4 linked regions of the Caenorhabditis elegans genome follow. The protein of the gene in region 2 purifies or fractionates together with the protein of the main gene of each other region. This does not show direct contact. Each region holds a gene or a part of one and is shown on either strand. Other genes may lie near its edges.

The links.
Region 1: the proteins of zen-4 (region 2) and swsn-4 purify together in Caenorhabditis elegans (affinity purification with mass spectrometry, with the first as the bait; one large-scale study listed by BioGRID). This does not show direct contact.
Region 3: the proteins of zen-4 (region 2) and ruvb-1 purify together in Caenorhabditis elegans (affinity purification with mass spectrometry, with the first as the bait; one large-scale study listed by BioGRID). This does not show direct contact.
Region 4: the proteins of zen-4 (region 2) and tlf-1 purify together in Caenorhabditis elegans (affinity purification with mass spectrometry, with the first as the bait; one large-scale study listed by BioGRID). This does not show direct contact.

The regions. Positions count from the first base shown.
Region 1 is NC_003282.8:11,123,769-11,132,420, forward strand, and holds swsn-4 (SWI/SNF chromatin remodeling complex core catalytic subunit swsn-4), read left to right. Parts: upstream 1-2,255; 5' UTR 2,256-2,305; coding exon 2,306-2,761; intron 2,762-2,808; coding exon 2,809-3,033; intron 3,034-3,080; coding exon 3,081-3,307; intron 3,308-3,354; coding exon 3,355-4,147; intron 4,148-4,195; coding exon 4,196-5,845; intron 5,846-5,889; coding exon 5,890-6,396; intron 6,397-6,441; coding exon 6,442-6,927; intron 6,928-6,975; coding exon 6,976-7,056; 3' UTR 7,057-7,394; downstream 7,395-8,652. Other genes in the region: Meiotic recombination protein spo-11, read right to left, coding at 4-231, 279-375, 420-654, 705-874, 920-967; ard-1 (3-hydroxyacyl-CoA dehydrogenase type-2), read left to right, coding at 7,525-7,548, 7,632-7,790, 8,573-8,652.
Region 2 is NC_003282.8:6,116,622-6,123,489, forward strand, and holds zen-4 (Kinesin-like protein), read left to right. Parts: upstream 1-1,593; 5' UTR 1,594-1,602; coding exon 1,603-2,045; intron 2,046-2,091; coding exon 2,092-2,340; intron 2,341-2,382; coding exon 2,383-2,688; intron 2,689-2,742; coding exon 2,743-2,992; intron 2,993-3,044; coding exon 3,045-3,227; intron 3,228-3,272; coding exon 3,273-3,995; intron 3,996-4,051; coding exon 4,052-4,138; coding exon of another isoform or gene 4,139-4,222; exon of another isoform or gene 4,223-4,278; coding exon 4,279-4,401; 3' UTR 4,402-4,476; exon of another isoform or gene 4,477-4,722; coding exon of another isoform or gene 4,723-4,815; 3' UTR 4,816-5,156; downstream 5,157-6,868. Other genes in the region: M03D4.4 (C2H2-type domain-containing protein), read right to left, coding at 5,499-5,603, 6,241-6,701, 6,748-6,868.
Region 3 is NC_003283.11:9,977,079-9,982,771, reverse strand, and holds ruvb-1 (RuvB-like 1), read left to right. Parts: upstream 1-1,969; 5' UTR 1,970-2,075; coding exon 2,076-2,141; intron 2,142-2,188; coding exon 2,189-2,284; intron 2,285-2,361; coding exon 2,362-3,073; intron 3,074-3,130; coding exon 3,131-3,588; intron 3,589-3,637; coding exon 3,638-3,736; 3' UTR 3,737-3,981; downstream 3,982-5,693. Other genes in the region: tofu-1 (Schlafen-like protein 1), read right to left, coding at 97-652, 707-1,031, 1,084-1,288, 1,336-1,371. UniProt on the Caenorhabditis elegans protein: Possesses single-stranded DNA-stimulated ATPase and ATP dependent DNA helicase (3' to 5') activity suggesting a role in nuclear processes such as recombination and transcription.
Region 4 is NC_003279.8:8,695,950-8,703,669, reverse strand, and holds tlf-1 (TATA box-binding protein-like 1), read left to right. Parts: upstream 1-1,696; 5' UTR 1,697-1,712; coding exon 1,713-1,750; intron 1,751-1,826; coding exon 1,827-1,953; intron 1,954-2,032; coding exon 2,033-2,143; intron 2,144-2,247; coding exon 2,248-2,329; intron 2,330-2,795; coding exon 2,796-2,911; intron 2,912-3,170; coding exon 3,171-3,407; intron 3,408-3,454; coding exon 3,455-3,550; intron 3,551-3,596; coding exon 3,597-3,875; intron 3,876-4,785; coding exon 4,786-5,102; intron 5,103-5,154; coding exon 5,155-5,221; intron 5,222-5,297; coding exon 5,298-5,354; 3' UTR 5,355-6,008; downstream 6,009-7,720. Other genes in the region: cdk-8 (Cyclin-dependent kinase 8), read right to left, coding at 2-123, 170-305, 355-451, 503-690, 815-1,054, 1,104-1,108; F39H11.1 (Craniofacial development protein 1), read right to left, coding at 6,170-6,304, 6,354-6,516, 6,592-6,636, 6,684-6,916, 6,965-7,063; pbs-7 (Proteasome subunit beta), read left to right, coding at 7,378-7,409, 7,456-7,561, 7,613-7,720. UniProt on the Caenorhabditis elegans protein: May be a general transcription factor. Plays an essential role for RNA polymerase II/ama-1 transcription in early embryos whereby it activates a subset of RNA polymerase II promoters and facilitates the reestablishment of transcription after mitosis.

The sequences.
Region 1 (8,652 bases), 5.0 Mb from region 2:
CACCATGCGGATCAGCGTCAAACAGTCCGTATATTGGAAATTTTCTTTTTTCACTCAACATTTTCAGAACATTTCGAGTTGCAATATCCGGATATCCTTTCGAAGTTGCTAGAATCCCACGTGGAAACATTGCTTGAAAATTTTCATCCATTAATTTTTGAAAAGTTGTGTCTTTCTCAACAACAAGTATGAAATCGGCTTCTGATATTATATTCGAAAATAACAGTGCATCTGAAACACCAGCGTTGATCATTTTTAAATGTTTTTTATTACCTTACCTGTGATCAAAACTTCTTGAACTCTCGCATCAATTACACCAACATTCTCAACTAAAAAAGTAATTGCTCCACGAATTATCCCGCGTCCACAAGAGAGCTGAAATTTGGAAATTATTTCTTGTTTATTAATGTCACACTGACAATGTTTAAATTAGCCCGACTTTCATTCAAAAGCTCACAAATTGATTTTATTGAACTGTCTAAATATTTCTGGTTTCCATAAACTGCTTTATGTTCATAATACAATTCTCTTTTCGTTGATCTTTTGTCATTTTCGAGCAAATCATAAACTTGGTGAAGACAGTGCAAATCTCTATCCAATTTTCCTTTCCTCTTTGCTGTATAACGAAGGCAAAAATGTGATTTACTAGTCGATCTGAAAAAAAAAACAAAATTACTCAAACATTTTCAACAGGAACTTATTACATTCTCAAAGTCAACGATTTCTCTTTGTTATCCATTTGCCTTTTAATATCTGCAAGAGCGAATTCAATTTTTCTCATAGCTTGTTCCTTCGGTGGTATTACTTCATCGTCAAGAAAACTGTCATCAGAATCATCAGAATCCGAATAAATAGTGGATTGTTGAGATTCTACCTGAAAATTGCAAAATTAGATTTGAATCAGCAATATTAAGCTTACAGATCCGGGCTCATGATCGATATTTGGGTTGAAAGAATATTCATACATGCTTTAAACTAATTAGTAGAACAAAAATACAGATAAAATGGAATAAAACTTTGATAAAACTTGGACGCAAGCTAATAAGGCTCCAGCTGCAAGATACAAAAAGTCAATAATCGAAAGGACCATACGTGAAAATAAAGCACGGGTCCCGCAGCGAATCGGAGTAGTACTGTAATTTTCGTCAGATTTTTAATACTCGGCGCCGACGAGTCTCAATGTTCGATCTTCTTTTCTATATTCTTAAATTGACATTTTTCTTCAAAAAATATTTTAAAATGCATTTCTTAAATATAACTCGGTTTTTCTCAATCCCTGCCGAAAAACCACAGCTTAAATGCAATTTTGAAGCGAATGACTGCACCATTCATTTCGTCGCAGTCGAAGAAGATTTTTATAGAATATAAAATTTATGTATAGTATTCATTTTTTTCTTAAACTAGCATTAAATGTTGTTGCGCTGAAATATTTTTGCTATATTAAATTTCCTTCAAATACTTTATTCAAATAGTCATAATGAAGCTCTGATATGGTCTATATCTACCGTAGTCTTCTTGTATTTTCCACTATTCCTTCTTTTCTTGTCTCTTTTCCCATTCATTTGTCCTCTCCGCCGCAATGGCCCGTTTCCAATGCAGGCAGACATGCAGAGTGTCTGCGTCTCTCCATTTCCAATAGTGTTTCTCCTCACTTTGCCTCTCTGGCCAATCGACGCTCGGCGCGTCCACTGCATACATTCAAACCTTCTTCTTCCCCAGCTGCTTAGTCTAACACACAATTTAGACCATTTTTCATGGATTTTCTCGGTTTTCAGACGAATTTCACGATATCAAGCGATACTAGTTATCAGTATACACTTATACGTCGTTGGAAAACGAAAAAACCTCTCAGGATTCATGAAAAGTCGATTCGTACACGTCACTACTTATCGATTTTTTCACAATCTTTAGAAATCGTCAATCTTTTAGTTTTTTCTTAGCTTTTCTTATCTCACTAGCTCACAAAGGGCCCCCGAAGAGTTCTCCGTGTTTTATATGCGCTAGAAATTTTGAATGCGCGCCGAAAGTTGTGTCCTGCAATACACTACATCTCTCTTTCACTTGCACGCTATTTCTCGGTTCCATCAGTCCTACTCTTTTTGCACTAGGATGGATGGAAAGTCTATATATTGTCCTCGGTTTTATTATTCACGCAGGCTTCTTCTGAAATTCGCTTATATACTATTACCGCAATACTTTTTGTTTATCTTGAATGTTCAATTGAATCTAAAATTCTGAATTAATAATTGTTTCAGACTATCAATTTGAAAGAAGATAGTGTATCAAATTGCTGGAATTTTGAAGAATGAGCGGAAGGCCGGCGTTTGAGCAGTTTACTGCTCAACCACCGCAACCAGCCGGTGAAGTTGTTGCTCAGCAAGCTGGTGATGGAGCTCAAGGCCAAGAGCTGACAATTTCCAAACTGGAAAATGCGATAACTTCAATGGAGGAACAAGGTCTTCAGAATGACCATCGACACGCCAAAGCAGTTCTTTTGAAGCAAAAACTCCAATCTGGTCTCCCAGACGCCGTTCCAGGACAGGAAAATGGCGGGAATCAACAAATTACCCCAGCACAACTCAATCAACTGAGGGCTCAAGTGTCAGCCTATCGTCTTTTGGCTCGAAATGAACAAGTACCGGCCAACTTGATTGCGGATGCTGTCATGCTCCGACCAAAAGTTACAACTTTGTTGCCTGAACCTTATGAATATCCAGGAGAGGCAGAGAATGGAGAAAAGTTGCCGTATGATTTGATGAAGGTAGGTAAAATGGATCGAATGAAACTATACAGTCTACTTTTTTACAGATTTTCAATCTCCATCAAATACGCTGTAATCGTCCAACAACAATTTCTGTTCCATCAGGAATTGATCCTGTTGGCATGCTCAAGCAAAGAGAAAATATGATTCAAAACAGAATCGGGCTACGCATGAAGCTACTCAATAACTTACCCGCCGACATTCCAGATCACATGAAATTGAAAGCAGAAATCGAATTGCGTGCTTTACGTCTTGTCAATCTCCAAACTCAGGTAATTTCTGGATTCGAAGAGTATTTTAACCAATAAGCTGTTTTTAGGTGCGCAGTGAAGTGATGGCTTGTCTCAAAAGAGACACAACTCTCGAAACTGCACTCAATCCATATGCGTATCGACGCACAAAGCGGCAATCTTTACGCGAAGCTCGTGTTACCGAAAAGCTTGAGAAGCAACAAAAGATGGAGCAAGAAAGAAAGAGAAGGCAGAAGCATACTGATTTGATGCAAGCTATCATTCAGCATGGAAAGGAATTCAAGGAGTATCATAGGTGAGATTGTATTTAGAAAGTTCTCCTACTAATTAAATTATTTTCAGAAACAATCTTCTGAAAATGGCAAAGTCTCGCAAGGCAGTCATGACATATCATCAAAACAATGAACGTGAACGCAAGAAGGACGAGATTCGAAATGAAAAACTTCGTATGCAAAAACTGATGCAAGAAGATGAAGAAGGATATCGTGCTCTTCTTGATGAGAAGAAAGATCAACGTCTTGTGTATCTTCTTCAACAAACCGATGAGTACGTCGACTCTCTGTGCTCACTTGTTCGTCAACATCAAAATACCGAAAAGAAAAAGAAGAAGGAAGATAAGAAAATTGAAAAAGGAAATCAAATGGATGAGGAAGCCAGGGTTCACGTTCGGGAGAGAAGCACTGGAAAAGCGCTTACTGGAGATCAAGCTCCAAAGACTGAAGAAATTGAGTTTTGGCTTGAAACTCATCCAGAATATGAGATAGTTCCACGTGATCAGCTTAGTGATGACGAAGAAGAGGAAGAGGAAGAGGCTCCAGTGGAACCAGAAGAAGAGAAGGATGATCAGTACGCTGGAATGGATGAAGAGACAAAAGCTAAGATGATCCTCGAGAAGGCACGTAACGAAGAGGATGAATATGATCAGAAAACGAAAAAGCAAATGGCTGATTACTATGCAACTGCTCACAAAATCAAAGAAAAGGTTGTCAAGCAACACACAACGATGGGTGGTGGTGATCCGAATCTTCTGCTGAAACCGTATCAGATTAAGGGATTGGAATGGATGGTCTCCTTATACAACAACAATCTGAACGGTATCCTCGCCGACGAAATGGGTCTAGGAAAAACTATTCAGGTAGGAATTTGGGAAATGAGGAAATATTAATCAATTTTTAATTTTCAGACAATCTCGTTGGTGACGTATTTGATGGAAGTCAAACAAAACAATGGACCATATCTTGTCATCGTACCGCTCTCCACGTTGTCCAATTGGCAGAACGAATTTGCTAAATGGGCTCCATCTGTAACCACTATCATCTATAAAGGAACTAAAGATGCTCGTCGTCGTGTTGAAGGACAAATCAGAAAAGGAGCGTTCAACGTTTTGATGACAACATATGAATATGTGATCAAAGAGAAAGCACTGCTTGGTAAAATCCGTTGGAAGTATATGATAATCGACGAAGGACATCGTTTGAAGAATCACAATTGTAAATTGACATTGATGTTGAACGGATTCTTCCATGCTCAGCATCGTTTACTTCTTACTGGTACTCCACTTCAGAACAAACTTCCTGAGCTATGGGCTCTGCTGAACTTCTTACTTCCATCGATCTTCTCATCTTGTGGAACTTTCGAACAATGGTTCAATGCTCCATTTGCGACTACAGGAGAGAAAGTAGAACTGAATCAAGAAGAGACGATGCTCATCATCAGAAGACTGCACAAGGTTCTTCGTCCATTCTTGCTGAGACGTCTCAAAAAGGAAGTAGAATCACAGCTTCCTGACAAGACCGAGTATGTCATCAAGTGTGACCAGTCTGCTTTGCAAAAGGTTATTTATCGTCATATGCAGAAAGGATTGCTTCTCGACGCTAAAATGTCATCTGGAGCACGTTCGTTGATGAACACTGTCGTGCATCTTCGCAAGCTTTGCAATCACCCGTTCCTTTTCCCTAATATTGAAGATTCCTGCCGTGCATACTGGAAGGTCAACGAAGTCAATGGAACCGATCTAATGCGTGTTGCTGGAAAGTTGGAACTTCTCGATCGTATTCTACCGAAACTAAAGGCAACAGGTCATCGAATTCTGATGTTCTTCCAGATGACGTCTATGATGAACATTTTCGAAGACTTTTTGAATTTCCGAAGATACACGTACCTCCGTTTAGACGGTTCAACTAAACCAGACGAGCGTGGAGATCTGCTGACACAGTTTAATGCTCCTAACAGTGATTTGTTCCTTTTCATGCTTTCTACAAGAGCTGGAGGTCTTGGACTCAATTTGCAAACTGCTGATACTGTTATTATCTTTGATTCGGATTGGAATCCTCATCAGGATATGCAGGCTCAAGATCGTGCACATCGTATCGGACAAAAGAAAGAAGTTCGAGTTCTTCGTCTCATCACAGCTAACTCTGTTGAAGAGAAAATTCTTGCCGCTGCTCGCTACAAGTTGAATGTCGACGAGAAAGTTATTCAAGCAGGAAAGTTCGATCAACGTTCAACTGGAGCTGAAAGAAAGCAAATGCTCGAACAAATTATTCAAGCAGACGGAGAAGAGGAAGAAGAAGAGGAAGTTCCAGATGATGAAACTGTGAATCAGATGGTTGCTCGCTCAGAGGAAGAATTTAATATCTTCCAATCGATGGATATTGATCGTCGTCGTGAAGAAGCTAATCAACTTCACCGTAAACCCCGTCTTCTAGAAGAACATGAAATTCCAGACGATATTCTCAAATTGTCATTCGATTATGAGGAAATGGAACGAGCCAGAGAGGAAGGTCGTGAAGTTGTTGATCAAACTCCTAATCAGAGAAGACGCAGAAGAGAGGTAAGGAATATATAAGAGAATTTACAATATTAATTCATTTTCAGGTCGACTACTCTTCCGATCTTTTGTCCGATGAACAGTTCATGAAACAAGTTGAGGAAGTTGAGGATGAAAATAATCAAGCTGTGGCTGAACGTAAAAAGCAAAGAAAACGTAAAATGGCTGGATTGGACGAGAATGATGATTCTATGGATGACGTTGTTCTACAACACAAGAAGAAGAAGACGGATCCAGAATTGGCAGAAAAAATCAATGAAATGCTTGATGTTATTCTAGAATATAAAAATGAGGATGGAGAACTCATCGCGGATGTATTCCAGACACTTCCAACTCGTAAAGAACTGCCGGACTATTATCAAGTGATTTCCAAACCAATGGATTTCGATCGAATCAACAAAAAGATCGAAACAGGACGTTATACGGTTATGGAAGAATTGAATGATGATATGAATTTGCTTGTGAACAATGCTCAAACATACAACGAAGAAGGCAGTGAGATTTATGTTAGCTCTGAAACAATCGGAAAATTGTGGAAGGAACAATACGATAAGGTATGATTGATTTTTGAAATTTCGAAGTTTACATTACTTTTTCAGTTTATGAATCCACCGAAGCCAGTAGAAGAACCAGTCAAGAAGAAAGAACCTTCAACCCCATCAACTTCATCTTCTCGTCCCTCAACCAGTGGCACTCCAAGTGTGTCAGATCTTCAGCGGACACAACAGGCAACTGCTCAGCAAATGTTAATGCTTATGACACATATGCAATCACTTCCACCCGCACAGGCTCAGCAGTTTCAACAGGCATTGATGACACAGACCGGTGGAAATCAAGCCCTAATGCTTCAATATATGCAGTCGGCTATGCTAGCTCAACGTGCACAAGCTTCAACTAAAGTAACCCCCAAAAAGGACGAGAAAAAAGAAACTTCGTCTTCTGTAAAGACCGAGGAAGCTAAGAAAGATGATGAACCATCAACATCGTCTGCAAGTGCACCACCACCGAAAAAGAAGAAGGAATCGGAAGATAGTGAAGACCCAATGGAAGAAGATGAAGAAGAGGAGATCATTGGACAAAAGAAGGTTACTTGAACTTTTTTAATGTCTTTAAGTCTAATATTTAATTTCCAGGAACCAGCATCAAGCCGTCGAAAGTCTCGTCCAACTCGCCGCTTCTCGAACGAGGATGAGGAAGAAGAAGACGACGAGTGATCAAAACTAGTCTGCTCCAAATATTTTCATGTCCCCATAAACATTTATTCTCTGTTTGTGTATTCTTCATGTTCTATGATTTCTGATTTTTTGAGCTGTCACCATAAATATGTCCCACCTCGTTCCCCCATTCTTATCTCTCCTGCTTCACAGTTATCTCTCATCGCTTTTTTACTGTTTATCTCTACTTCTCTTTTCTGTCGCAAGCTACACGTTTGCAGGAAAAAATCCCTGAAACAAAAGCATTAAGCATTGTATTTAACCCATATTCCACTTTTAATCCATACTATTCGTCAACTATTTTAAAGAAAAATTTAATTTTATAAACATTTCGAGAGAAATATGCTTTTGTTATCAAGAATTATTTTCGAATTTCGTTGCGATTTCTTTTATTAAATACTTTCCGTCTTAGTTCGAGATTTTGAATGTTTAATCAAACACACTTATGATTTAGGTAAACGGGAACAAATGTCGGCACTCAGAAGCACTAAGGTGAGTTTAAGAGCTTGAAAAGGTTGAATACTTGCTCCAAAATTGAAAGTGTTATCTGAAAACCCTACGTTCTATCTTCTCAGGGTCTCGTTGCTCTCGTCACTGGCGGAGCGTCTGGACTGGGAAAGGGTGCTGCCGAAGTTTTGGCAAAGGCTGGTGCACAGGTCGCTATTCTTGATCTTCCACAGTCAAAAGGAGCCGATGTTGCGAAGGAGATCGGAGGAATCTTTACACCAGCTTCGGTAACAATGATTTCATGCTACATTTGTAAAGAGAAACTTCAAGTAAAATATTACCCAGACGCCAATTTTGCGATCTCTGTCTCGACACGCCCTTTTTTGTAAAATAGAAACGAGTGTGTGCCTTTAAAGAGTACTGTTATTTCAAAATTTCGTTAGTACTGAATTTTCATGAAATTCTCATCGTTTTTTAAATTAAGAATTAAAAATTGAAAGCACATCAATTTTATTCAACAAATCATGATAAAAAACTACGAAAAGTCGATAAAAATTCCACAGCATTTTCAATTTTAAGAGTACTGTAAAATTACAGTACTTTTTAAAGGCGCACATACATTAGTATTTTACAAAGTTTTACGCTTCAAATATTACGATAACACAAAATTCTGAGAATGCGTATTTTGCAACATATTTGACGCGCAAAATATCTTGTAGCGAAAACTACAGTAATTGTTTAAATGACTACTGTAGCTCTTGTGCCGATTTACGGGATCGATTTTCGAAATGAATTTATTCTCGAATAGTGACAGTGATATTAGATTTTCCTTCATTTTTTCTTAAATTAAATAATTAAATTGATTTTAACTAATTTGGAAAAAAACCAACCCTGAAATTGATACAAGAGCTACAGTAGTCATTTAAAGAACTACTGTAGTTTTCGCTACAAGATATTTTGCGCGTCAAATATGTGGTTCTATACGCATTCTCCGAATTTAGTGCTCCCGTAATAACATAATTTATTATTGTATTTTCTCATTAAAAAACAAACGTTTCATAAATTTCAGGTAACATCCGAAGAAGAAGTGAGAGCAGCTTTTGCCAAAGTTCAAGCTGAATATGGTCGCCTCGATGCTCTTGTGAATTG
Region 2 (6,868 bases):
TTTGTTTCGAACTTTCCGCCCGTAAATCGACATTTAAAAAAATTACTGTAGTTTTCGCTACAAGACATTTTGCGCGTAAGATATGTTGCTCAATACGCATTCTCAGAATTTAGTGTGCCCGTAATAGAATGTTTAATCCTGTTTAAACGTTTCATAATTTGGGGAGCATCTTCAACAATTTGGCTTCCCCGATTCGGCTGCGCCCACTCATTGCTCCTCGCAAAAAAAAAACGAATCAAGAATTAAAATCCTGGGAACCCCATTTGATTGATGATCAGAGATATAAGAAGCTTATAAATAATTTAATGCGAGTGCAAGAATTCAGACGATTTTTGAATCTTAATGTGTCGCCCTTCTCTTTTCAGATACGTCATGACGTGATTTATCTGAAACGGAATCTTGAGTCTGAAATGGAAAACACTGAGATTTTTAAGGACGGTTTTAAAAAATAAACTTCGAAATTGCTGTGGAAAGAATTATTTTTCAACAAATTGGCACATTTTTTCCAAATTCAGAACTGCTCCGAATTCATTGCTCGCTTGGATTGAACACCAAGGATGCCCTTTTTCTGTTATTTGAATTTTTTGGCAAATACTGTTTTACTACTTGATCTTGTACTACAATTGGCTCTTTTACTACGTTTTATCTTTTACTAATGATTTTTTACTACGACTTGAAAATTAATTTTTATAGTATTATAATTCTAGAAGTAAACAAATGTAGAATATTCTAGTGAACTTCACATGTTTTCTTTGTACTGTTGGGCTACTGGCACTGTGGTATATCATGTTTTTTTTTTCTAGAAATTTATTCACTATGAAATCAGCAGAACTTATTGTGTACATTTGGCTCTTAAAAATTGATAGAGATAGAGTACACAAAGTTGACATTGACACTGACCAATTTTTAAAAATAGACAAAAACTACAAAACCAGAACCAAAACCAAGTTAATCTGGGGGAAATACAAAACCAAACTACGAAGACACTTTTTCACAAAAAGAATATAAAGTTCTATTAAAAATTAGCAAAACGAATCTTATATTGGCACCTCAACTTTTACAGATGATAATTAATTTCCTTGTTTGTAACTTATTCGTATGTTTTTTATTAATCTTCCTATGTATTATGTGTTTATTTTTATGTCTTTAAATGATTTTTATTATATCTCACTACAATCATATCCGACCTGTGCTTTGATGCGGCCACATCAGGAACTTTGAGGATTTTCATCCTTTCGGAACCCATTACAGTCTCAACTCCCCGCACTGAAGGAAGGCCCATAGCACACGGTGGCGGCGGACAAAACGCGAGCTAGCGAGTGCCACCGCAATATTACAAGAGTACCACTCTCGCTGCCTTGTGTGAGAGACGCAGACATAGGTATTAAAGGCGCATAGATTTATCTGCGTGGCTGGTCTCACTGCGCACCCTCCCCCTCCGCCGCCAGTTTGAATTCTAACCGTTCTCACATGTTTGCTTTGACTTGTTTTTGTTGATTTTTCTTCGAAATTTGTTATTTTTTCACGGTTTTTTGGAATAAAACCGTTTTTGTAAATCAATATAACAAAACTTGTTTTATTTAATTCAATTCATTTCAGAAAATGTCGTCGCGTAAACGAGGAATAACTCCATCGCGAGACCAAGTCCGCCGGAAGAAGTTATCGATTGAAGAAACCGACAGTATCGAAGTCGTTTGTCGTCTTTGTCCATATACTGGCTCGACTCCAAGTCTTATTGCAATTGATGAGGGATCTATTCAAACTGTTCTTCCACCAGCACAGTTCAGACGCGAAAACGCTCCACAAGTTGAGAAAGTGTTTAGATTTGGACGAGTTTTTTCGGAAAATGATGGACAAGCTACTGTTTTTGAGCGGACATCTGTTGATTTAATTTTAAACCTATTGAAAGGTCAGAATTCGTTGTTATTCACTTATGGAGTTACTGGATCTGGAAAAACGTATACAATGACGGGAAAACCCACTGAAACCGGCACAGGACTACTGCCGCGTACATTGGATGTAATTTTCAATAGTATTAATAATCGGTAAGCTTTTGAAACGAAAAAAGCAAATAATATTATTTTCTTCCAGAGTTGAGAAATGCATCTTCTATCCATCAGCACTGAATACATTCGAGATCCGTGCCACATTGGATGCTCACTTGAAACGCCATCAAATGGCTGCAGACCGTCTTTCCACATCACGCGAAATCACTGATCGTTACTGTGAAGCTATAAAGCTGTCAGGCTACAACGACGATATGGTTTGCTCGGTTTTCGTAACCTACGTCGAAATCTACAACAATTATTGCTACGATTTGTTGGAAGACGCCAGAAATGGGTAAGAAAAATCGAGCAATAATTGATAGTGACCCTCCGCTAGTTCCAGAGTATTGACGAAGCGTGAAATTCGTCATGATCGTCAGCAACAGATGTACGTCGACGGAGCCAAAGATGTTGAAGTCTCGTCAAGCGAGGAAGCTCTCGAAGTGTTCTGCCTTGGAGAAGAACGTCGTCGTGTATCGTCCACTCTTCTCAACAAAGATTCATCCCGTTCTCATTCCGTATTCACTATCAAATTGGTTATGGCTCCGAGAGCCTACGAGACGAAAAGCGTGTATCCAACAATGGACTCATCGCAAATTATCGTTTCGCAGTTATGTTTGGTAGATTTGGCTGGATCTGAGAGGTTTGTTTTTTTGTTGTAAACTGAAATATATATGTTTAATGAGAAAAATTTTAGAGCAAAGCGCACACAGAATGTTGGTGAACGTCTTGCGGAAGCCAACTCGATCAATCAGTCCCTCATGACTCTTCGTCAGTGTATTGAAGTACTCCGTCGTAACCAAAAGAGTTCCTCACAAAACCTTGAGCAAGTTCCATATCGCCAGTCAAAATTGACTCATTTATTCAAAAACTATCTGGAAGGAAATGGAAAAATCAGAATGGTTATTTGTGTGAATCCAAAGCCTGATGATTACGATGAAAACATGGTTCGTTCAGAATTCAAAGAATTTACTAATTATTTAAATTCGTAACTTTCAGAGTGCTCTAGCTTTCGCTGAAGAATCACAAACAATTGAAGTGAAAAAGCAAGTTGAACGAATGCCATCCGAGCGGATTCCTCATTCATTCTTCACCCAATGGAATTCTGAGCTAGATGGATCTGTTCGTATGGAGGATGATGGAAGTAGAGAAATTCCGTGCCCACCGACATTCTGTTTGACAGTAAGAATTTCACAAATTGAATGGTTTTGAACAAATTGTTTCCAGGATTGCAATGACAAAGATACGGTAGATTCCATGTATAAGTATGCTCGGAAACTTTCATCTCTTCAAAATTCATCAGAAGAGGGACCATCTTCAACTCTTCTTACTATGATTCGCCAATACATGATGGAAGCAGACTACCAGCGAGTAGAGATTGCACGTCTCAAAGATTCTCTAAACGACAAGGATGAAGAAATCAAGAAGCTTCGAGGTTTCTGCTCAAGATATAAGCGTGAGAACGCTTCGATGAAGGAACGAATTGCCTCGTGTGAGCAAGGAGAGCAAGAGAATGCTCTGGTTATGGAAAAGCTTATGGAACAAAAAATGGAGGACAGGAAGATTATTCAGTCACAGAAGAAGGCGATGAGAAATGTTCGTGGAATTATTGATAATCCATCCCCGTCTGTTGCTTCTCTTCGATCACGATTTGATCAAGAGAATGTGGCTCATCCAACAGCTCCAATCCAAACTCCACCACCGCCATATCAAACTCCAGGACGTGCTCCAGTCTTCAAAAAACGGTTAGAAGCCACTACATCGACCACTGTAATGTCTGGATCTTCAAGTGGAGGAAGTGGTCAACAGGGTTACGTTAATCCAAAATATCAAAGAAGATCCAAGTCTGCATCTCGTCTATTGGATCATCAGCCACTTCATCGAGTTCCAACAGGAACGGTTCTTCAGTCTCGTACACCGGCTAACGCCATACGGACTACTAAACCTGAGGTAGGAAAAAACATTAATAAATTCCGCAATTTTATTGTAATTCAATTGTTTTCCAGATGCATCAGTTGAACAAATCCGGAGAATACCGTCTCACGCATCAAGAAGTTGACGATGAAGGAAACATTAGCACGAATATAGTGAAGGTAAATTCCTTGGTTTCCACCCAAAAACACGCCTGTACCGTCCCGTTGTCGTTTTCCCGTGTCCTTATCACCCATCTTTCCTGATACAAAACTGTCCGTCTTTTCTTCTCACAAAGCACACACGTAACGCATTCTAACAGGCACCATCTAAACCACCAGAACTTCAACTGGAAGACTCGCAAAGCAGTTCGTATTCACCGTGTACGGATGTAAAATCGATAACGATATACTCTAATCATGATGTTGAAGAAGAAGATGAATGAGAATTATTTGAAATGAATGTTTGCTGGGGGAATGAGAAGATGAAGCTGCTCTTTTTACATTTTTATGTGTTTGTTGTATGTTTTTGATTGTTTATTGGCTATTTTAGATACTGTTTTAGTAGTGCTTGAGAAAACTGCCTGAATTTGCTTGATATATACTTTTTGAGTTAAAATTTCATGCTTAAAATTAACTAATTTAGTGCTAGTTCTATATGCATTTAATTTCAGTTTTTCATGTAATGTTTTAGGTCATATAACTTTAAAAATACATTTATTTTTGTGTTCCACTTTCTCATCTGTTGCTCATCTCGAATTTTTCAGGGAAATGTAATTCCAACAGTTTCCGGTGGCACTGCCGTGTTCTTCAACGATATCGAGAGACTCACTCACGAATCTCCGAGCACACGAAAGTAATTATAAGTGCCGTCTTTGATCTTTTTACCTCCATCCTGCTGCATTTTCATGTCAAATTTGTACCATACTCTTCAAATTTTCTCCAAATATTTATTAATTTATTATGTTTCTCATTCATAATCCCATTTTCCGAACTCGAAGAGAACTCTTGTTTTTTTGTAGACCTCACCGCATTTTTATGATCTTTCACTTCTTCGTCTTTTTCTCCTTCTACGCACAATTTTTTGATATCGATCTGAAGAACTCTGTTCATTTTTATTCCCGACGATGATTTGTGTACTAGTAAATGCTTTTGTATTTTAATTTTAATTAAACTCAAAGAATATAAAATATGAAAATAAGTTAGCTTTTATTTTCGTTCAAAAAAATGAATCTCAATAAATAAGACCCGATTTAGGTCGAGGGTTACATAGAAAATGGTGGGAAAAAGGCACGGTTTTATACAAATAATTATGATTTAATACGCGTTTTTTGATTTTTTGGTTGGTATTTCAAAAAATAATTCAATCGAAAAATAAAAAGGGATTATCATGAAAAAGAGGTCAGAAATATTGATTATCAGAGAGATTTAATTTTTTAAAATTAAAGTTAAATTGGGAAAAGCCAGGCGAGAGACAAGATCAGAAACCACGTGGTGAGAGAAATATGAGAAAAAAAAAAGAAAATCGGTGAAAATTAATTGCCTAGAGAGTATTTTTAAGATGAGTGAATACATTTACTGCATTCATCATGAACATATTATCCGGTGTTGCTGTATTTGTCAAGAAATTGGAAACATTTGCGATGATCTGAAATATACATTCGTTGAAACAGTGGAAATTTTGAAATATTTTCCGCAAGTCTGGCATGAAATTTGCAAGCGTGCCGCACCGTTTTTTTCAAAAATTGCTATTAACTTTCTTCTCTCCAGTTTAATTTCTTTGCAAAAGTTTGCAAGACAATAATTTGTCGGACTATTTTAAAGATTTTCCAGAAGTTTGGTCGGTTAAAAAAATTCTGGGAACGTTTTAAATATATTATTGAGACGCAGAAAACATCCATTTTTGAAATCGACGTGTAAACGCGCTCAACCGCTAATCCCCCCAAACGATGGGTCTCGTTGGCTATTTTCCCGTAAACCCAGAATAACGAACTTTTTAAAACAAATGAAAACTTTAAAATTGACTAAAAATACGGTTTTATCGCCAAATATGTACCTAACGAGACCAATAGTTCGGGGGCGGAGCTTTTACAACTGGCCATGGAGCGCGTTTTCTTCTCGATTTCAAAAAAATCTTCTGATGTCAAACCTTTTTCTATGTACATACGTTCTCATAATATACATATTTTAAAGTTTTTTGTTTCAAAAAAGTCGCAAGATTTTTTAACCAAACAAAATCGATTTTTTTAAAATCAGGTAATTCAAAAAACTTTGCAAAAACCAACCTGTTTAGTCATTTGCTTATAATTCTCAAACTCCTCATCCTTCTTCACCATTTGCTGCTCCAAATCATGAACTCTCTGCCAACTATTCGTACAGTCTTTACACGAAGACGTTGAAGATTCCGAAGCAGTTGGTTGAGGTGAAGCTCCAGAAGAACTCGACGGGCTCACTGAGCTTTGTTCGAGACATGATGACTCGAGAAGCTGAAGTGGTGATGTCTTTTGAGGACTTGAAGCACATGATGTATCAGTGGCTAGATCAGAGTCCGATCCAAGAGGAGTTGGATCATTTTGATGGCTGATTGTTGTAGGTTGATGAGTATGATGGATATGGGTGGAATCAATCGATAAATTTGGATTTTGATTCGCAATATGGTGCATGTACATGTGAAGTGTAAAGGATGGTTGACTATTGAATTGAGATTTGCAGATCATACATGTTAAGCTGAGTGGAATTGTTGGAGCTGAAAAATGGGAAGTTTCTTTATTTTTATAAAAGGTTTCCTGTACCTGGAATCTCGAACCCAGCATCCTTATGCATCACACTTCCATTCAAAATATTACTTTCATTATTATTATTATTATTCAGAATATTCTCGTGCTGCTTAACCAAAAGTGTGTTCAATGCGTT
Region 3 (5,693 bases), on a different chromosome or scaffold from region 2:
ACAATCAGAAATTGGTACAAAACTTCATGATACAGATATAATGGAGGCGATATTAAGCGAAACAACGAACAAAACAAAAACAGAAGATTAACAACTTCAAACAGATGATTCTAAACGATAGACTTGATTACGGAGTTGTTTCACTCGAATGACAATCAGAAACGTCTCATCCATTTCTTCAACTGGAACGAAGTTCATGTCAACTACGTCGAGAATATTCTCAATTGGAGGTGCAAACTCGGTTTGAACAGCAGTATCCAGAGCAAGACGCAGATTATCTTGTTGACCAGGACCCATGTGGCATCCAGTAACTTTTCCGTCTTTCCCAATACCAAAGAGAACCACGGCGAGACGCTTTGAATTCAATGCATCACGGATTATCTGTTGGATGTCATGTGTCTCCATCAAGTTAATTTCATCCGCACTTCGAATATGAACATCCGTGAATTTGGTTCTGAATTCAATTTTGGCTCCAGCCTTGACAGTTGTTGTCAACTTTCCCAGTGTGATCAATTCTTTCAATGTCTTGTCTTTCTCGTATGCCATGGATACACATGAATCGATCCAGCGTTGATCGTGACGAGCAAATTCGAAACGAGGTGGACGAGACATGATTCCGTTGCGAACGTTGAAGCTGGTTCCATACACATTTCTGGAAGGATGAAGAGTTGAAATAGAAAATATTCAGAAAAGCTTCAAGACCTACTTTTTGGAAGCAAAATCTGGAATATCTTCTACTGATACGGCATGCTCTTCTTCGGTGATGTACTGCATATACTTCTTAAGTGAAGACATGTCGAAAGCATCCTTATTTTTGCATTTCGCATCAGAAGCTTGAGTTTCTGCAGAGGAAGAACTAACAGCTCCAACACTAATACCACTGTCCACATCCTCTAACTCGCTGCGATCGATGATATCAGGTTCAACTGAAGAGTCCAAGTCTTCGAAGAGTCCTTCAATTCGAGAATTCATCTGATCTCCTGCCAATGCTTTTCCAAGAAGAGCATCAAGAAGTGATTCCTCCACTTCGGCTGGAAAATATTTTGTTACAGAAAAAGAGCAAAAAACTATAAAACTGCTCACCTTGACCATCGTGAAGCTCGACAATTACTTCATTTTCGGAAGGGATGTCCACTTCTTCAGAGGATAATTCGTCATCTTCAAGTTCATCCACATTTTCAAGCTCATCATCGTCTTCAAACTCATCGTCGTTTTCAAATTCATCCTCGTTTTCATTTTCTTCGATTTCACTCAAAAAGCCGCTAAAATCTTCTTCATTTTCGGAATCCTAAAATTCTTGAATTATACTTTATTCTTGTTAATCCAGAAACTCACCGAATAAGAATCATTCTCTTCAAAAAGCGCAGCCATTGTTCCAAAAATAACTGAGACAGAATATTCGATTTCGAAGGATTGTCGAGGGAGCAGGATTTGGGACAAATTCCAGATAATTGTCTCAAAGTTGTGCTACCGTACTTTAAAGGTACATTGCTATTTTACATTAACAGGTTCCCGAATGGAATGCCATTTTTAATTTCTTGGGATCTCTATTGGTGATTATACAACTTTCGCAAATTCATTTTATTTAGAAAAGTTACTCTCGGCTTATATTTGACATTTACTTCAAATAAGAATATTATCTCTTTTTCCTCTTTCCCTTCCATTGAGACCCGAAGAACTCGGGGGATGTCCAACTGGGGGGATTACCAACTCGGGGGATTGGCCCCGCCCACAGAACCGTGGCTTGCAATACGCCCATTTCTGCAACTGCCGCACGGTTTTAAAATTATTTTTTCTTGTTAATTCTCGCTCTATTGAGAAAAATACAGTTTTAAAACCGTGCGGCAGTTGCAGAAATGGGCGTAATGCAAGCCACGGTTCTGTGGGCGGGGCCAATCCCCCGAGTTGGTAATCCCCCCAGTTGGACATCCCCCGAGTTCTTCGGGTCTCCTTCCATTGCTGTTTGTCTGCATTTGTGCGTAAAATGAGATGGCTGCACACATTTTCGAATTTTATTTTCTTTCCCTAAATTTCTATTTTTCATTCTATTTTCACGCTGACGCTTTCGTAAAATAATGGATATGGAAGTCGATGAGGCAATATCTGGTACTTCTTCTTCAAGACTTGCACCAATCGAAGAAGTGAGCTAATTTTTGAAAAACCTAGTATTTTAAATCGAATTTTTCAGGTAAAACCAACTCCAAAGCAAATTAAACGCATTGCGGCTCACAGTCACGTCAAGGGACTCGGAATTGACACAGAAACACAAGAAGCTCACTATGAGGTTTCTTTTTCAATTGTCCAATTTCAATAACTACTTATGAAATAAAGCCTATGCTAAATAAAATATTATTTCTACAGGCTGCTGGATTCGTTGGCCAAGCACCCGCCAGAACAGCTGCATCAATTGTAGTTGATATGATTCGATTGAAGTGTATGGCCGGACGAGCTGTATTGATTGCTGGACCACCCGCCACTGGAAAAACTGCAATCGCGCTTGCAATGTCACAGGAGTTGGGTGACGGCGTTCCATTTGTGCCACTTGTTGCAAGCGAGGTCTTTTCCAATGAAGTAAAGAAAACGGAAGTGCTCATGAGAAGTTTCAGAAGAGCTATTGGTCTGCGTGTTAAGGAAACCAAAGATGTGTACGAGGGAGAAGTTACAGAGTTGAGCCCCGTCGAAGCTTCAGATAATTCCGGAATGGGAAAAACCATCTCTCATCTTGTCCTTTCTTTGAAAACAGCAAAAGGAAGCAAGCAACTGAAATTGGATCCAAGCATCTATGACTCGATTTTGAAGCAACGAGTAGAAGTTGGTGATGTCATCTATATTGAAGCGAACTCAGGAATCGTTAAACGAGTTGGACGGTGTGATGTATATGCATCTGAGTTTGACCTCGAGGCTGACGAGTTTGTGCCAATGCCGAAAGGAGATGTTAGAAAGTCTAAAGATATTGTTCAAAACGTGTCTTTGCATGATCTGGATATCGCAAATGCCCGTCCACAAGGACGTCAAGGAGATGTTAGTAACATTGTTTCACAGCTGATGACTCCAAAGAAAACTGAAGTTACTGGTGAGTGATTGATAAACATTAAAACTCGAACCTTTCAATTTTTATTCTGTCTTTTAGATCGTCTTCGTTCTGAAATCAACAAAGTAGTCAACGAATACATTGAAAGTGGAGTGGCTGAACTAATGCCTGGTGTTCTTTTCATCGACGAGGTTCATATGCTTGACGTAGAATGTTTTACCTATCTCTATCGCGCGCTCGAGTCCCCAATGGCACCCGTCGTGGTTTTTGCAACTAACCGTGGAACCACAACAGTTCGTGGACTCGGCGATAAGGCACCACATGGAATTCCTCCAGAAATGCTCGATCGGCTGATGATTATTCCAACGATGAAGTATAACGAAGAAGACATCCGGAAGATTCTCGTTCATCGTACCGAAGCTGAAAATGTTCAATTCGAAGAAAAAGCATTTGATCTTCTAAGTAAAGTTGGAGCTGAAAAATCATTGAGATATGCGTTACAATTGATTGCTCCAGCTCGTCTTTGTGCTCAAACGTGTGGAAGAGAGGTCATTGAAGTAAGTTGCAGAATGTTGTAGTTCATGTATTAAATAAATCGCTATTCAGGTAGAGGACGTGGACCGTTGTACCAAATTGTTCATGGATCGTGGGGAGTCGTTGAAAAAGGCCGAAGAAGAGATGCGACAACCTAAAAATAAGAAGTGATATCCATTCATATCCGCACAACGACTCGGTTTTCCAATTTTGATTTTTCGCCAATTCATTTCTTGTTTTTTAAAATTATTTTTCTTCTTCTACAACTTATCTCATTCCTCTCGATCTTTCCTCAGTTGTTTCCCCACATGTTGAGGATCTTGTTATTTCGTTCCGATAGATCCCCCATTTTGCCCAATTTGTTGTTCGATTCCTATTTTTATACTGTTCCTAAAAAGAAAAAAAACGGTTTCAAGAATTGTTCGTAATGTTCACCAAAGCGGAAGGAGTGCATAGTGCACAGAATCGACAAAGAGGGACCCCGGCAATTCGTAATACGTCTTCTCCACGTCCCTGACGCCGCGGCATTTCCCTTCTTTTTCTCCCGTTTCTCTATCGATTCTGACAGAGCACATAGTCCTCAGCAGTCGTCGTTTCGCTTATTCCTCGCTCTATTCGCCTCCTCTTTGAGAAAACGAAGAAGAAGGGGGAAAGAAAACGAGGACGAAAGGAGAAGACAAACGTCTTCTGGGAGAGCTTTTGCTTGGAGCCCCCCGAGCACAAGAAGTAGACTCGTATGCTCATTTTTGCAAACTTTCTGTGTTTATGTCTCGTTCTCTTTTTTGTTATAGACTTATTAGCAATTTTTATAGACACATTCAGAATATGGAAGTATGGAGTTTTTCAGTTTTCCCATCATTAATTATTAGTAAGGGTGCAAAACAGGGGTGTGCGGCAAATTTGCCGAATTTGCCGAATTTGCCGTTTGCCGAGCTCGGCAAATTTGCCGAATTTGCCGAGCACGGCAAATTTCAAAAAAGTAGATTTGCCGAATTTGCCGAGCTCGGCAAATTTTGAGATTTGCCGCACACCCCTGGTGCAAAAGTACTCGAACCAATAACTTTTCATATGCTAAAAGAGCTTCTAAATTCCACCTGTTTTTTGAATATTCCTTCAAAAACTGCAACATTGACTTACGTTACACATGCTTATATCTTTCAGGCTAAAGATTAAGTAGAAGATTAGAACATATCAGCTTTTGATTATATGACACACTTTTTAGACCAAAAAAGTTACATTCTGTTAGAGGACATACCGCTTGAGTTTGACTATTTACGCAAAGTGAACATTTGTATGGCGAAATGAAGTTAAGAAAGCATTGTTCTTGAAAAGTGTAACTTAGGTCACTGTTTCAAAAAATTACCGACCTAGGTTCCAATAACATGCTACATCAACAGATATCAATACATTTGATTCTTTTAAAATGCCAACAGCTAATTCAAATTTCGAAACAGAACATTGATATTATATATTAGATCGTATTTCATTTTAACGAATCCTTACCTACTGAAAAATGCGTATTCGATGATTTTCCATTATAGCTTTTGTAAATTTACTACTGATATTTTTGATCAAGTGGGATACAACTGCTAAAGTCAACCAAGGGTCTCACGCTTACCGTACTTCTCTATTACACGAAAAAGTTATAGATAATTTTTTCAAAAGATTTTTCAAGTCTGCAAATTCTGATCTTTATTTTGTTCAATTTGTGAATATTCTTTCCCGTCAAAATCAGATTGAGAAAAAAAGGAAAAATTCAGTTAATTCGCAATTTCTCCTTCCCTTTCAGGCCTCTCGCTTTTCCTCCCGTCGTATCTATAATTGAATGTGCTAGTACTACCAATCGGTGTAGTTTTCGAAGAATGGATTCTACTTTTATGGATTTAGAAAACAATATTATTTGCACCATTTTAATAAATAGTCATGCAATTGGGGGCTTACAATTAGAGAATAGACTCGTGAAATATTAAAAAATCACTTATCTCATACATAAGCACTCAAAAGAAAAAGTAGAAGAAGAGTCTTGACATTCAAAATCGTCTCCACTTTCATTTTATTTTCCATATTTTCTTTCCAAACCCTTCCATTCTTTTTTAGGCATGACTCTTCGTATTTTATATGCATAGAA
Region 4 (7,720 bases), on a different chromosome or scaffold from region 2:
CCTTTTCACTTGATCATAGTGATATGGATTTTGTGCCTTGATGTCTTCCTCTTTACAGAAAAATAATGGTTCAGCGGTAAGAAGTTCGGCAAAAATGCATCCGATAGCCCATACGTCAATAGCCTGAGATTATGCATTTTTTCCTTATTAAATAGATTTTTCAACGTACCTTTGTATAATGCTTTGCTCCGAGAAGCAATTCAGGTGCTCTGTACCAGAATGTGACAACTACTGGATCTAATTCAGCCATCGGTTTCAGAGGATTTGCATAGATTCTTGAAAATCCCAAATCAGCAATTTTTACCCTAGAATTATTATTTCATATTATCGCATAAATTTCAAATTCAGTCAAACCTTCCTCTCATGTCAGGTGGTCCATCACCCATTAATAGAATATTTGCTGGTTTGAGATCTCGATGTAGTACCCAGTTTGAATGTAAATAATGCATTCCTGAATATTTTAAAATACAGTTGAGTGAAATTGGATTTTAGAATTTCAAACCTGATAAAATTTGAAACAATATATTTTTGACCATATTCCGTGGCACCATAATTGGGACTTTCTTGCTTTTAGCTGTTCGATGATGTTTGATAACGTGCCAGAGATCGTGTTCAGCATAATCCAATAAAAGCCAGACTTTTTTTTCGTTGGTAAGAAATACACGTTGAAGACAGATTAAATTCGGATGCCTGAAACATTTTTTTTTTTTGAATATCTACTTCAGTTTTTTTTTCGAATTTTAGATTATAAAAAGGGGAAAATCTCGAATTCAATCTTCATTTTAAATTAATATTATTTAATCGGTGAAATTACCTTAATTCTCTGAATAGAGCAATTTCTCTGCATGCAGACATTGAAAATCCTTGTCCCTCAATCATTTTTAATGCGTATTCTTTGTTAGGAAATTGTCCATTTTGCTTTTTCGGAACTGCTTTATAAACTAATCCATATGTTCCTCTGCCGATTTCTTTTGAATTTTCAAAGTAGAAAAGGTCTTCTACTCTCTCTCGACGCTGTGCCAATTGTTTTTTGAAGTTTTCATCAATCATTAATCTGCAATAGGGATTTTCTGATTTATTTATAGTGCAAATTTCCAACTTACGTCATTTTTCAGTTACTACAGCGAATACTACTCAGTCTTTATGCCAGGAAAATCGATGTCCAGAAAAACGAAAATTAAAATTGAAGTGTACGGTAAGGAAGTCCGCAAACACTGCACCCACGTACTAAACACCAAATATCACGACATCTTCGTCGGTCTTCGTTTTCTAGCACTTTTTCTTGTGGCAAATTCTCGCCGAACGTCACTTCTTCTTCCCAAAGAACACAGCGTTAAGACTGAAAAATCAATAAATTAACTAATCAATAAATGCCACATGTCTAACAGACAAATAACTAGGAGGAATGCACATTCAGAGAGGATACTCTGGTTTGGCAGCGAATAACGCTTTCAATCGATCCTGTAACCGCGTTTGCCTCAAATCAGTTTAGAATGAACAAACCGAATATTGTATTTTGGATATTATTTTGTCTGAATTTAAAATAAACTGGTCGTCGGAAATAAATATTTCTTAACTTTTCCAGAATTTTCTAACATAAATCAAAAAATTCTTATGTTCTCACGAAGTCTCGCTCTCTCGTTGTTGCAGATTTTAGCATTTGTCGAGTTTTCAAAAGATAACAACTCAAATTTACAGGCCGATCAGTTCAAATGCAAATGGGTGATCATCAAATGATGGGAAACCAGAGGTATGAGTTGAATTAAAAAATAGCTTGTTCAGTTTTAGTTATTTGGATCAAGAAATCCAATAACAACACTCGAAAGATATTACAGAACTTACGTTCAAAAAGTGATGCCTGCACAAGCTGGTGGTGCAGTATCACAAAATGCCACGTATGTGCAAACGGCAGGAATTCGAACGGTTCATCACGACGGAAACGGACAGCAGAGGGTGAGATTTTGAAGAATATAATCAAATTTTGTTCGAGACAAGACATATGCTTGAATTTATGAATTAAAGTTTATTTCAGATAGTTCAACTACCCCCGGGAGTACGTCAGATTCAGCAAAATGGTGTCGGTCCTGCCTATGTTCGCCAAGTTCCTGGTGGTCAACCAATGCAAGTAAACTTTGGACATCCAGTAAGTCTTTATTATCAGTTTCTCAATCAACATAACAAATTCTAAGAATTGAAACAAAATTTCAAATTCACGAAACTATTTTAATTTTTCAAAAGAAATTGCAGGGAACGATAGCGGGTCGAAATGTTGCAGTTGGTGTTCAAATGCGACCTGTGCAAGGACATAACGTTCAACAAGGTTATCAGAGTAAGTTTTTAATTTTATTTAGAAAATTGATAGTCAATATTTAATTGATGTTATTCAAAACAAAATATTTTTTTTTTTAAATCGGTTTTATTTCAATTTATTTACGGTCTCCGGATGCCGTGTGTTTTATCAATAGAATACAAGTACTACGTATATCTAGAATCGCGTATATGTTTCTGCAATAATTAATTGTTTTATTGGAATAATATTCTAGACACAAATTAACTCTACATTTACATTTCGAATAACTCGATTTCTGATTTTTGAACGATTGAAGTTTCACATATTTTCCAAAAGGAAAAATTAAATATTGATTAAATTTTCACTGTTTTTGCAAACAAAAAAAAATCGAAAACAATCAAAATAATTCTGGAAAATTTCAAACTCGTGTGTTGGGTCTCACATTACGTGTTGTATAAGACATTCTTGTTTGAAAAACTGAAAAGAGTTTTAAATTTAATTCCAGGACAGCAAGTAGCAAATCAAATTCAACAACAAAATCGAGCTGTATTTATGGCACAAAATCAGCAAGGACAACAACAGATAAGCTATGCGCAAGCACAACATCGACAACAACAACAGGTATGTTTCATGATTATCATTTACTATCATTTACTATATATAAAGCGCGTGTCCTTCTGTCCCTATGTAGTTTGATCTCTGATCAGAGCAACGAAATTTTGGGAAACCTTATGCTAAATGCGCAACAGACATCGATCGAGGTCCGCGATAGACACCGTATATCTAATGTGTTTTCTCAAAAAAGTCGGGGGCCGCGCCGTAGGTGCGGTCCACGGCTGGTTCAGATATATTCACCAAAATTAATCAGAGGATATTACAGAATCAACAACAACACCACCAGCAACCACAACATTTTAATCATCCTTCTCAACAAAATCAAATGATTATGCAACATCGTCAACCACAAATGCACCATAATCAGCAACATCAAATGGTTCAACCACAAATGACACGTCATCAGATGGCCCAACACCATGCTCAGCAGCCACATCCGCAGATTTATGTGCCGCGTGACATGAATTTGGCAGTGCCACTGAGAGAACCCTCACCTGAGCCGGTAACAGATGAATGTACATTTTCATGTTTCATATCTACATTTTTCAGATTCCTGTCAAAATTGAGGTTCCAGATGTTCCTCCAGAAGGTACATCGGCTGCCAATGAGGAACCAATGCCAGATGATGGTGATATCGATATTCAGGTACTTTCTAACAGCAATCAATCATCAAAACTTGAAAATATTCCAGATTCGAAATGTTGTTTGTAATTATACACTCCCTTTGCACATTGATCTTCGAAAATTGGCAATGAACACTCATAACGTGACATATGAAAGAGAAAAAGGAGTAATGATGAAACAAAAAAGATCGCCTGGTTGTTATATCAAAGTATATAGTTCTGGAAAAGTATATATTGTTGGTTGCCGGAGTGAGGCGGATTGTAAACGAGCTGCACGTTCAATTGCCAGACATGTTCAGCGAGTTATGGGAAAAACGAAAGAACGAGTTTCGATTAGAAATTATCGAGCAAGTTTTGAAAAGTTTCAATTTATCTATTAAAAAAATTTATCTATTAAAAAAAAAATATTTAAAAAAAGTTCGCCTTCAAGAAGTACAGTAGCTTCCGCCATTTCCGATTTGTTTTTTTTTCTTTTAAAGATGTTTCATTTTTGTTAAAGTTATTACTTGTAAATTTAAATTAAATTGAAGAAAAGTGTAAAAATGTCAGTCGTGCAAACTAGTGTACTAAAATTATTTGACCGTGTATCGTAGTTTCACCAGATTTTTACATGCCTTTTTAAAGGCGCACGGATTTATTCAGAAAGGTCTCGGCACGCAAAATGTTTATGGTAATCTTTCTTTTTTTTTTGAAGTTTGAACATTTGGAGAGGCACCACGGTTTCAAGATCTGGTGGGGTTCCGGATCTACGTTTTGGTGCCAGATCTGGAAAACGTAGAACCGGAATCCACCAGATCTTGAAACCGTGGTGCCCCCATTTGGAAACAGATTTTTTAACAGAATTTTTTTTTAAAGCTGAAAACCGTGCAGTTTCATTGAAAAACGCAAACATTGAAGAAAAAGACTACAATAAACTTTTTGCGCGTCGAGACCCATCTGAAGAAAGTCGTGAGCCTTTAAAGAGCCATTTCAAAATTTGAAAAAAAAAATTACGATACCACGTAGAGTCAGGTTGTCCCATCACGGTGTGATCTACAATAAGTGCGGGTATTTTTGCTCAGAAAAGTGTGACGTCAGCACATTCTTAACCGTGCGACACCAGTTGGAAACTCTACGTCACGTTTCATTTTTTGTAGATCAGACTGTGATGGGACATTCTGACACCACGCGCGATACCGTTTTTGTGTGTTTGTCAATACCATAAAATTTTGCAACTTTAAAATATTTATCTAATTATTAAGTTTATGTGGAATTTAGGTGAACAACGTTCTGGCCACGTGCCGTCTTCCATTCGGAATCAAAATCGAAGAAGTCGCAGCAAAATATCCATCAGAATCCACATATGAGCCTGAACTTTCCGTTGGTCTTGTTTGGAGATCTGTGACACCAAAAGCTACTCTTCGAATTCATACGACTGGCTCAATTACAGTCACTGGAGCTCAATCGGAAGCCGATGTTCTCGAAGTACTCTCAAAGATCTATCCAATTGTTCTAGAATTCCGATGTCTCGAACGAGCCAAAGGAAATGTCGCTGCTCAGAAGAAGAGGAAACGAAAGGCACCTGTTAACAGAGGGTAAAAATTTGTAAAATTCTGGCTTCAATGTAAAAATAAAATAATTTTTTAGACCACCAATCAAACGCGAACGCTTTGATGACAGCAATTATAGAAATTCTGGAGTTATCAATAACCAGGTATGCAAATAAAAAGTGTTTCGGTGGTTTGAAAATAATACAAATTTAATTTTAAAATAACACATTTTTCTTTCAGGTCTATTTCTCTGATGAAGATGAAGATCTGTATGATGAGCTCGATTTAGAAGAATAGTTGTACCTAATTGATGCAGCCTACCCATTCATTGTAATTTTTAAAAAATCTCAATTTGCAATCATTATCTGATTACCTTTCTACATCATCTCGTCATAATTTCTCTAGTTTTAGCTTTCTATCTTCCAGTATATCTTGTTCTTTCAATTGTTCTGTGTGCTTCAAAATTCATGCTTTATCCGCTTTTTTCCTGTTCTTTTCTTTCTCTGTTTGCCGTTACCATCATCAACATCATAAGTCATCATCGAATCAACACAATCTCCTATCCATTTTTTTGTAAAATTAACACAATGATCAGAAAAACAATTCTCGCTTCCTTCTAGCTCTTTCTCTCTCCACATCCCACTATGTGCTCTCTACTTCATGTCTTCATCATGTTCCCCTCAAGCCCAGCAAATCTTAATTTTTCCTTATTTTCCATTATCTATTTTTCCTCATGAATCCCAGTTTTAAAAACAAGTAGCAGATTTTTTTTTGTTCTGAAACAATTCGCAAAAATTCCACAAAAAGTCCTTAAAAACAAACGAGTTCGTATTATAAAACTGTAACCTACCTTTTCCCAAAGTTGTTGTATTTCATTTTAATTATTTTAGAATGTGATTTTTCTACAATTCCCTTTTCATGATTCATCCTTTTTCTAGATTTAGTTATTGTCTCCCTTTACCATTTTTCTCGTTTTTGTCCATTAAATATGTTCATGATTAAATTTCAATGTCCGTATCTTTACAGAAGGTTTATGAATTTTTCAAAGTTACGAATTGTCAAAGAAACCAGAAAATCACAAAAAAGATTCAATTGAAAAAATAAAGAATTATTTACTGTCCAGTGTCCTTACGAGCTGTTGCACGGAACGCTCGTTCTTTTTCAAACTGGCGATTATCAGCTCGGTTTAAGAAGTCCATTTTGTTCAGATAACCGCCTTTCCCTCGGTTATGAGATTCCAAATCTTCCTGAAAAACAAACAATTTATTCAAAAACCTTAAACTTAAAGAAACATACTTTTAAATTATTTTGCGTCGTAAAATCTTTCCAATCTCGATCAGATTTCTCCAAAACAGAAATTTTAGAACGCTTCGACAGTGATTTTGCAGCATCAAGCAAGCCGACTCTTTTCTTTCCGGGTACAATGCTACTTTCAGACGATGTTCCAGCTGTTTCCGTTCTGAAAAAAATTATTAGAAAAATAAGAAAAAGTTGTTTTTAAATTTGTATCAAATAAAAACTCATGTCAACTCACTTTTTCGGATAAACCTTCTGATTTGTAGACTCGTTGGATGCAGATCTGTAAAATACATTTTTAAAAGTTATTTCTACTTGTTTCAAACATACGCTGCTGATTTTGGATACACCCTTTCTTCAGTTTTTGGAATATTCTTGCTTGATGTATCGTTGACAACTGGTTTCGGTGCTAGCCCAGTTAATTCTGCAAATATCGCATCCACATCAACACTTCCTTCAGTACTGTTTGCCTTTTCTGATGTATGGTCGTCACTTTGTTTTTCATTTTTCAGATGTTCAACTTCTTCGTCAATTCCATCTTCGCATTCTTCTTGATCATCGATCTGTTGAGGAGAATGAGCAATAAAAGGGCGATATCTAGGAATGCTTACTTCATCCTTTGGATCAAAATCGGTATCCTTTGTTGGATCGTAATCTTCATCGGACGATGAGTTGTAGTCTTCTTCGTTATTTTTAAGCTCCGAGGTCATTTTTCTGAAACAATTTATATTTTAAATAGTTTCACAATTTCAGTGAGAATTCAAAAGAATAAAATATGAATTAATATATTTATAAAATATGAATTAATTTATATTATAATATTATCTCAAAAAAAGTAGCGCGAGATAATTTTTCTTATTGAAGTACGCAATTGTGCGTGGTATTCAGTGTAAAATTCGACGGAGCGCACATGCTTTATGATGACTTAGCCGCCATTTTTGCATTTCATTGTCGAAATTCACTTCCTTTCATTTTTTCAAAGCACTCCCTTCAAAAACTTCATTTATATTGTTTCAGAACCAAAATGAATGCTCACGACGAAGTCCAGCGCACACTGTAAGTCATTAAACCTATATTCGTTTGAATTAACTCAATTTTTCAGGAATCCTACTTGTACCGGAACATCGGTTATCGCTCTCCAGTATAAAACTGGGGTTGTTGTCCTTACTGATCGAGTTGTTTCCTATGGAAAAATGGCTCGTTACAAGGTTTGAATTTCCGTTCAGCTGAAAGTGGATTTTCATAATATTTGTTTCCAGAATGTTTCTCGTCAATACAAGGTCAATGATAATGTTCTCATTGCCTTCGGAGGAGATCACGCTGACTTCCACTGGCTTCAAAATGTGATCGAGCGTCAGGTTCTTCTC